Linked DNA regions of Caenorhabditis elegans. The protein of the gene in region 1 interacts with the protein of each later gene in a pairwise test. Each region holds a gene or a part of one and is shown on either strand. Other genes may lie near its edges.

The links.
Region 2: the proteins of pat-10 (region 1) and K01A6.4 interact in a two-hybrid assay, tested with the Caenorhabditis elegans proteins (one large-scale study listed by BioGRID).

The regions. Positions count from the first base shown.
Region 1 is NC_003279.8:5,017,613-5,022,631, reverse strand, and holds pat-10 (EF-hand domain-containing protein), read left to right. Parts: upstream 1-2,545; 5' UTR 2,546-2,568; coding exon 2,569-2,571; intron 2,572-2,639; coding exon 2,640-2,691; intron 2,692-2,741; coding exon 2,742-2,848; intron 2,849-3,255; coding exon 3,256-3,411; intron 3,412-3,461; coding exon 3,462-3,629; 3' UTR 3,630-3,650; intron 3,651-3,705; 3' UTR 3,706-3,849; downstream 3,850-5,019. Other genes in the region: C46H11.6 (PDZ domain-containing protein), read right to left, coding at 217-552, 857-1,050, 1,542-1,755.
Region 2 is NC_003282.8:11,737,972-11,743,116, reverse strand, and holds K01A6.4 (Glycine Rich Secreted Protein), read left to right. Parts: upstream 1-2,812; 5' UTR 2,813-2,832; coding exon 2,833-3,099; intron 3,100-3,165; coding exon 3,166-3,210; intron 3,211-3,432; coding exon 3,433-3,498; intron 3,499-3,545; coding exon 3,546-4,022; 3' UTR 4,023-4,128; downstream 4,129-5,145. Other genes in the region: K01A6.5 (uncharacterized protein), read right to left, coding at 112-220, 369-411; K01A6.7 (Collagen-like protein), read left to right, coding at 4,550-4,870; K01A6.6 (G_PROTEIN_RECEP_F1_2 domain-containing protein), read right to left, coding at 972-1,071, 1,354-1,484, 1,528-1,634, 2,149-2,291, 2,512-2,630.

The DNA.
Region 1 (5,019 bases):
TAATTTACCGAGTAGATGTGGAAACTGAGGTGACCAATTTCTCAAGTTTCAGGCTTACTGTATACTTCTGATTTTAAGAAACCCAGTGTTTAGTTATTTTAATAATAATATTTTTGTTGAAGCTCCAGCATACGGATCGTCCTAAATCTTGCAAAACCGGACGCCGGTTTTCCAAGCAAACGTTCAGCCGGTACAATTTGAAGAAAAAGTCCTCACCCGACCAATACATATCGCGTCGTTTGCCATCTTAACATCTGGATCTGGAGCAACTGACTCAATCAAATGACGAAGAGTGTTTGCAGATTCCACAGAAACCGGTCTTTCAACCAAAAATGTGACTTTTTCTCCTTTCAAAATTCCCGACAGTTTCTCACGAATGAAGTCGTCATTTTTCTCTGCGTTCAGAATGGATTCTTCATTTATATCCATTATCAGATCCCCACGACCAAAGAATATCGAAGCGAGTGAGCTGGGCTCGATTCGAGTTACTATGCCACGTTTTTGAATATATGTCACTGTAACTCCAACCGTTGCACTTTTCATTGCGGAAGTCTGGAGTAAATGGTATTTATTAAGGGGTGGACATAAGTTCTAGGTATAATCCAAAGTTATTTTAAACAATTATTTTATGAGAATTTTTGTTGTCAAGCAACAAGCAGTTCGTCACATTTCGTCAAAAAAACTTTCATAATTTCGTCTTTAATTTTTTAAATTAAAAACAATTCATACTCAAAAAACATGCAAAATTCTAGAATTTAATTGGTCATTCTGTAACTCCGTTCAAAACCTCATTGCAAAGTTCAGATTTCGTATATTTTCGAATAAGATAATCATGTCGATTTTTCTTCAATTATACCTTTTCAACTTCAATAACAAAGCACGTATTGTCCCGTCTCAAAACACATCCCGATTTCTTCAACCGTTCTCTGGTCGCTGGGATAATATTTTTCCGTCTTGTAACCTCAACACTACATGTTTCACCTTTCATGAGCTCTGTCTGATACTTGGATATATTTCCACTGGCACCGTTCACCTTGACTATTTTGTCGCCTGAAAGAAAAGTATTTTTAATCTAGTTTTTTAAACTGGTTTAATACATTAATTGGAAAAGTGTAAAGTGGAAAAGAAACTAGGGAGTCTTCCGAGGAAAATTGACTTTTCCTGGCTCAAAATGTATAATTGTGGACAGAAGAGTTTTGAAACCCTTGTACCAGTCAAACCAATTTTTGCCTATTATTTTATCGGGGATAAATATACATTTGTTCGGCAAAACATCACAACTTCATAGCAAACTCTTGCAACTTGAAACAAACATTTATAAACAATTGCCAAGAGATGTTACAAAGTTGCAAAAACCGGAGCAGTTCTAAGCGAAATGTTTCATAAAGTTTGCCAAAAGAAATTGCAAGAGTCATCTGAAAAGCTGCAGAAATTTGTTAGAAAACTAAAGTAAATAATGGTTTGTAAGAAGTTGCAAGATTCTGTTATGAAGTTGGCCCGCTTCAAAATAGTTTCGGGTTATCCGGCCGTTGGAAACTTACTCAATATCAATCCATTGTAAAACGAGTTTGTTGATAGGAAAGAAACCATCGAATTCTCATTAATTCTAATAACTTCATTCGCAGGCTTTCCGACATCTTTTTCATCAATCTTGAATGAAACTGTCATATTTACAGTTTCCACATTCTGTGGGATCGGTGTCAGCCAACATTCTTTCATCTTTTTGTTCGTATTCTGCACTTTTTTCTTCGACATTCTTCTTCAAAAGAAATAACGTTTTCCGAAGTTACTTGTTAGCTCCAAACTCACGATTATGGTTTCCTTTTGAAATCCGGAAATTTAGTGTCAAATGATAAATAAGAATGATTAGAAATCTACCTCCTCCCCCTCGACTAAACTGAATTGGAAAAACATAAAGTTTAAATTCAAAATGGTGTGTCACGCGATAAAAAGTTACTGGAGAAACTTGAGAATTATAAAATAGTATTCAAATTAAACGTTTGATATAAAACTGTAAAGATATACATACTCAGTGCACATTTAAAAAAACTGAAAAAAAAACGTTGTTGTGTTCTGAAGCCCAAAAAGGCTAGATGTTCTGGTCACCATGTACAGCTAAGAATCCAAGTATTCTGGGAAAGTTCAATTACATATATTGCCTGTCAACTCCATTTCTGTACTTAATTCTACTCCAATTATATTATTTTTTTTCTATTTCCTGGACTTTTATTGATCCTTGGTTGCCTGTCCCCCCAATCTTTCTTCGTACTCTCCTCCCGTTTCCCCTTCCTTCTCGGAGAGCCTTGTCTCTCGAATCCTGTGTTTCGCAAAAATCATCGTCAACTTCCACACAGATATCATTCTGCGTCTCTTCGCCCTCTATGATCTCTCATGCCCGTTGATCAGGAGCATCTGTCACCCAGTGTAACACCAAGAATGTGTTTTGTGGAGGAGACGATGATGCCGTTGTGAGAAAGAAAAGCCCGCCCTCGGGTTCCTCCGCCTACTCGCTCCCGCCGTTGCTTCTGCCCGACGAAGCTTATCCAGAGCACAACAAACTCCGACAACATGGTGAGTCCCGCTTTCTCATGTCTTCAATAAATTTCTTTTTGAATTTTTATATGTTTATACTTTTATAGGCTGAGGATATCGAAGAGATTCTTGCTGAAATCGACGGATCCCAAATTGAGGGTAAGATATTTTATATTTATGATTGAAAAATCATCATTAAAACTTTCTAGAATACCAAAAGTTCTTCGATGCCTTCGACAGAGGAAAGCAAGGATACATCATGGCCACTCAGATCGGTCAAATCATGCATGGAATGGAACAGGATTTCGATGAGAAGGTAAATCATTTTGGAACTTTTGGTTTATGTAGAGTTAGGGGATCTTCAGAAGAGTGATAATTCAAATTAGGAAGTTTTCAACTCTTTTAAATTTAGGTTTCACGGTAATGATTAGGTAGGCCAACTGAGTAAGATAACCGAAAATATAAATGGGTTACTCTTGCCTAAAATTTTGTTTTTATCCGACCTATCTTCTGCGGCTTGTTTCTCAACTGAATTCAATTAATTTTCGCCACTAAAACATGTTACTAATGTTTGTGAAATAATTAATTTTGATATTCCATCTGAACAAAAGCATTTATTATGTCGACTAAAGTAAGATATAACTATATGTTATGAAATTTAGTTATAGAATTGATGATTTTGATTTTTCTAAATCTATGTGGCATCTAACTTCATTCTTTTAGACCCTTCGTAAACTGATCCGCAAGTTCGACGCTGACGGTTCCGGAAAGCTCGAGTTTGACGAGTTCTGCGCTCTCGTGTACACCGTTGCAAACACTGTCGACAAGGAAACATTGGAGAAAGAACTTCGTGAAGCTTTCCGTCTTTTCGACAAGGAGGTTTGTACTTTTAGATTTTGCTTTTTATTCTTTAATTATTAATTTTTCAGGGTAACGGATATATTTCTCGACCAACTCTGAAGGCTCTTCTCAAAGAAATCGCCGATGACCTCACCGATCAACAACTCGAGGAGGCTGTCGACGAGATTGACGAGGACGGTTCCGGAAAGATTGAGTTCGAGGAGTTCTGGGAGTTGATGGCTGGAGAGTCTGATTAAATTTTCTAATTCCTTTAAAATGTAAGTGTTCGAGCTTTTTTTGATTTTATTCAAAAACTAACTTTTTATTTTTCAGCGCTGATCTACAATCTTCAACTGTGGGGACCAGTCACCAACTTTTCATAATTTCCTTTTTCTTGAAATGTTAAATTCATTTCACTTTTTATTAATTTTCTTGTCATTCTTTTGAATGAATAAAAATGAATAAAAGTCTTTGTACATCCACAGGCTTATTGGAAGAGTGTGACCAATTTGAAACGGCCAAAATCAGGAAATAATCAGAAGAACTAGACTTCTCAAATCCTTTAACACAACATCAAATCCGCAGTATAGTGCTCCGTTTTCTCTTGACCTAAAAAAACGGGAAAAGTCCATCTACGGGGAATGGAATGACAAATCTCTATAAATATAGAGATTCACCGTTGCAACCTTGTTGTTTGAAAGTGAAGTGTCTCTAAATAGAATGAAAATTATGAAAAATGGAAAATGTATTAAATCACTGCAAATGAGACCTCTACTCTGCGGCATTACAGTTTTTACCGTTTTAGCGCAACAGGACAGTTTTTGTAAATTTGCAAAAGTAAAGTGACAATTCTCTATGTAGATTTTCTACGAATGAATTTCAGGATACTTGTGAACTTGCAAAACAGTTTTTCACTATTTCAATTGTTCCAAATCTAAATTCAACAAATCCCTCTCTTTTTCTCTATCTGTGCTCAACTCTTTTCTATATAAACTTAGTGTAACATAGGCTTTATCTTTTTCTATCCACTTTCCCACCAATATCCCTCCAGGAATAGAAAAGGGATTAACGGTGGAGACTCCAAATAGTGTCCATCACATGCAGCTACTATTGCTCCAGAAGCCCTTCACGAGTCTCTCTGCCGTCTCTTTGCTTATCAGAGCCCAGATACTTACTATGGAAACCATCAGATGGGAAAACGAGAAGAAGAAAGCAGATGTAAATATAAATTAGAAAATAAGAAGAAGAAGAGACAGACATAGAGTTGTCCCTCCGTTTCTCTTTCTCTCACTCCCTTTCAAAGCGCCACGTGTTAGTTTCTTTGAAGTAGGTACAAATATTAGGATGCTCTCAATGTCTATAATGTATCTGGTTTACTGTAATTCTATGTCTCTCATTCTGAAACACTGTTTTTAAATTCCTTGCTTCATTCTTTAGCTACCTTGCTTCAACTCAGAAATAACAAAAACAAGTGTTTTTCTAGAGTATTTTTGAAAGATAACTGCTGAAATCAGAACTGCAGTAATTCTCTGAAAATAAAAATTTAAATAAAATACACAATTCTTTTAAATACTTTAAAAAAAAATATATTTTTAGCTCACACGACTTATCAAAAAACATCACTCTGATTGTGAGAAAACTCACCAG
Region 2 (5,145 bases), on another chromosome or scaffold:
GTTGATGCAAACTTTAGAAAATTGGATTTTTAATTTGTTTTCAGTCAATTCGGAAAAAACCAACACGTTGGTACAACACACGCCAATAAACAAATATATGGAAGCACTCACGTGGAATCTGGTTCTTTACTGGACTTGACTCCGTTCCGACCTCCTTTCGTTTTTGTTGAACCTCTGTCATTCTCGATTGTCGTGAACATTGCGGTTGCGGTGTGATTCCCTGGAATTAGATATAATTCTCAATTATTTAATTACAAAATTCAAGTTCTAATCTGCGAAATAACATTAAATTACCGGTGGAGTGATTTCCAATGTGGTATCCTTCTTTTCCTTTTTAAATTTTGCACAAAACACGAGAAAGCTATTACATGATATTGCAAAAAGCATCGAAATAACAATTATAATGATCATTATATTGACAGTTGAATTGTACGCTTGACCAAATGAAGAAAGTAGAAATACATTTTCATGGGTAAATTTACTTTATCTTTTTCAAATCAACGTTGTTCTAATTAGTGGGAAGAAAATTAAAAGAACACAACGTGATTCAAAGTTGATATTTTACCATCCACGTTTGTCTCGGTAGTTTTTCTACGAGCATTATAAATTTGTGTGTCGTCGAACTCCACTCCGCTTATTTCTACAGATTCCAGACTAGCGCGGCAGGGACATTTTTTCTTGAAATTTCAAAGTTTGCACATTCGATTCCAATGAACGTTTCAAACTGAGTCTACTTCATATATTTTCTGTGGTTTTTTAGCCAATGTTCTTGTAATTTGTAAAAAAAAATATGTAACCTAAACCTTATTTTGAGCAAAAATTCATTTTCATTCAATTCACACATGAAAGACAAAAGGCATTGATAATTAAAAATCATAAGTAATTGTTTTAAAAATTATATATCATAGCGAAACCGAAAGCACGCGATGAACATGAAAAGCGAAACAAATTTGGCCGAAGAACCGTTGAAATCACAGAATATCGTCTCCAATTGCAGATCCTTTACGAGAAAATGATCGAAGAGAGCCAGTGTCAAATGAGTGACTTACACTGAGATACGTACGAGATATTCTGAAAATTTCAAGATTGATTTGGAGTTTGTTCAATTAGCAGTATTTTCTAGGAGATATTGTGCATCTTTAGATACCTATGTACTATTAAAATTTTTTGTCACATAAGAAAATAAAATGCAGAATATCTACAGAAAATACCTGAAGTTTGAAAAAAAGGTTCACCGCAAAACACTCGAAAACAAGATCAACCACACTGAAAAAGTCACACAAACCAGTAGACAAATTCAAAAAAAAAGAGAAGTAAAACAGTGCGTAACATGTTTGAATGAATGGCGGATACCTTCGGATACTGTTCCACACTTGCCTAGTACCACGCCGTGACGTGGATTGCTGAGCTCGAAGCAGAAGCTCATTTTGACATTCATTGTCACTTATTGAGGTACGACTATCACCAACATCTTCATCGTCGTCCTAAAAATGTTGAAATTGATTTTTAATAAAAAAGGACGCTTACTTTGACAATGACATAATAAGCAGTTAAAAGTGCTGCCGTGTTAGCAGCCATTGTTGTAATGGAGAGAAGCGGTTGCAGATGTCCAGTCACCAATGCTAATACCATTACTGTAAGATAATCTGTTTTATTGATATTCTTCACAACGAAATTCAAAACCAGAGGAAGAAGTAATTGAGAAAACCCTCTGAAAAATAAAAATAAACACGAATTCAATTTCGTCCTTACTGTATCAATATAATTTATGATGGTCGAAAAATTGTCATTACGCGATTCCTGATTACCTATATAAAATTATATTATTCGAATTCTGAAAATGTTCCCTACTAATAGGCGGGTAATTTGAGTGCACCCTAGGCCAAATATCTTTCATTTAAAAAATTGAAACGGGAAAAAGCAAACGGAAGTTCGAGGAATACCACGTGATGTTATAGGTCATTAATATTTAATCATCATCTATTCAAAAGGGTCAGACTTTTCTAGTTTTGAAAAATCTTGTGAACTTCATGTTTTGATGCTTATTTTATATGGTTGCTTGAAATTAAACGTGTCTTCAAACACGAGGTTCAAAATTCTTGATCAGCAAAAACTGAACTTTAGAACACCACAAAAACTGTGACTCACGGGCATTATTATTCTGAAAATGATTTATGGTGAGCGACAGTGTTGTGATGAATGCAGTTGGAACTTGAACAACGAGAAAACTTATTGTTACAGTCGTTATTAGAATTCGTGTTTGATCTCGAGGAGTTCTTCCGAAACGATTGCTGAAATTAATAGAATTGAATAAAATTGGTGGTGAGAAAAGTTTCAAACTGAAATAGACTAGAAAATAAACGGAAATTGAAGGAAATTAGTTGGAAATTAAGACTACAGTTTTCAACTTCTTTTTGCCTGCCTGGAAGGCAACATTTCAATTGAATTAGAAGACATTTTTAAATACTATTTCATCTGAATTCGTTCGAAAAACACCGCCTTAAAACTAACTGTTTTGTCAAATCGCCCATATCAATTTCGGGTTCTCGAATGAATCCAACATGAAGAAGAGCCAGTAGAACTCCAGGTATCACAAATTGAACAGCAAAATCCGCAAGTGGGAGGAATACCTGAAAAATTGGTTTCATTTGAGACCAGGTACATTCAGAGTACGACATCAATTCTGACTCAATAATTTTTGCATAAAACCTCCCCCACATTCATGATCTACATCATCAAAATCATATAAAATAGACAATGTTCGAATGAGAATTCGTATCAGATCATTTATTCACTTTTCATATTTTCTCTTTCTAATTTGAAGAGAACACTATGTACTCAAAAGCTGTACTACTTGCACTTCTGGTTTGCTCAGCTCTTGCCGCCCCAAAAGCAAAAAAGAACCAAACGGGAAATGAGCAAAATCAGCAAAGCCAGTCAGGTCAGAGACAGACTGGACAAGGCCAGCAAGTAGGATCTCAGCAAGGATTCGGAGGAATGCAAGGAGGATTTGGAGGGCAATCAGGATTCGGTGGTGGAAGCTCCCAGGGAGGGTTCGGTGGATTTGGACAGCAAGGTGGATTTGGAGGAAACTCTCAGGTAACCTTTCAACATAGCTCTAGAAACCTGTTTCAGAAAAAAGTAAAACAAAATTAAAAATTTCAGGGTGGATTCGGAGGACAACAAGGAGGATTTAGTGGAAATTCTCCGGTAACGTTTAGTGCTTCATACGCCTTCCACGTATGCCTAGGTCACCTTGAAGGCTCCCTACGCCTATTTTGCAGTCGTCTTTGATATCTAGCGGCGCGACTGATATAGTAGTTACTAGGCACGCAGGCAGGCATTTTGTGACTCATGGAAGACGTAGTACTAAATCAGATACTAGTTTTGCAATCATGATGTCACGAACAGAGTAATAAAAAATATTTCCAGGGTGGTTTCGAAGGACAACAGGGAGGATTCGGTGGATTTGGTCAGCAAGTTGGTTTCGGCGGGCAGGTTAGATAGGAAATTTGTTTAGAAATTTTTAAACGTAACAAATATAGGGAGGATTCGGAGGTAACAGTCAAGGTGGATTCGGAGGTCAGCAAAGCGGTTTTGGTGGTCAAGGACAGCAATCAGGATTTGGCGGAGGTTTTGGAGGAAACTCTCAAAATGGATTCCCAGCTCAGAGACCATCCCAACAGTCTGGATTTGGTGGACAAGGAATGCAATCTGGATTTGGAATGAACTCTCAACAGGGAGATTTCGGTGGACAGGGACAGCAATCTGGATTTGAAGGAAACACACAAGGACACTCCCAAGGAGGATTTGGTGGGCAGTCGTCTTCTGGATTTGGAGGTCAGCAAGGTGGGCAAGGTGGACAAGGTGGATTCGGAGGATCTACTAGAACCGGTGGAATGCAAGGAGGACAAGGAGGACAAAGTGGATCAAGTGGGTTCGGTGGATTCGGAGGCTTGGGCCAAGAAGGACAACAGGGTGGACAGGAAGGATCCAATGGAAACAACAACCAAGGATTTTAATATGTGATGTTCAGTATTTCATCTAAAAACTGGTAATGTGTTCCACTGCTCTTTTTAACGCTAACTTTAATGTTTTATTTTGACATTTTTAATAAATATTGAAGCATTTTTACAAACACCTCTAAACTCCTATTTCAAAGTCCACTTCGAACTTTAACAAATCGGATTATTCATTGAACAATTTGAACATCAAACGTATGTTTTTACTCGACAGTTTTCAAAAACCACATTTGCCGAACCACGTCATAATCCCATAGAAATCGGTGAAACACTGTGTATAGAGAATATCCGTTATTACAGTAATGTTCAAACGTTAAACAACTATGATTTTTTCGTTTTGTTTTGGAAGAGGGAATCCCCGAAAAGTTATCCAACCGGTATTTTCTCGATGGTATAAAATGAGTTTTTATTGGCTCAGATATCATCAACTTCTAATTTTCAGCCATTTAAGGTTTGTTTGAGAATTTATAACCTCACTTCTAAATATTCGATTACAAAGTTTTAAAAATCCTAAATTTCAGAAAACAATGTCCTACTCCTCTATGATTTTTGTTCTCCTCGTTAGTGTTGTACTTGCCGACGACCAACCAATTCCTCCACCAGTTCAACCAGGCATGGAAGGACAGCTTGGAATAGGGCAACCAGGTTTCAATGGACAACTGCCGGGACAAATTGGAGGAGTTCAACCTGTGATTGGAGGAATTGGGGTTCCAACACTTCCAACTTTACCAACTCTGCCGAGCCTGCCGACACTTCCAACAATCCCACCACCAGGAGTTGCACCAGGTGGAGTTATCGGACAACCAGGAGTTGTCGGCGGAATTAATGTACCACAACCAGGAATATAAATTTTTGCGCTTTGTCTTTTTATTCATATTTATTGTATATATCACAACTTTGATTCAAATAAACTTGAATTTGAATTTGAAAGAAAATTTGAAGGCAACATTATCAAAATAACATTATTTGGGAGAAATTAATCTCAGAATATTGAAGAGCATTAAAACTTGGTTTTGATAATTAGTGAATAAGAACCAACTATACTGGAATTATCTATTCATAAAAAATTATCATGATGTCTTTGTCTGTTTTTACAATAATGGTTACAATAATGGTTAATAAT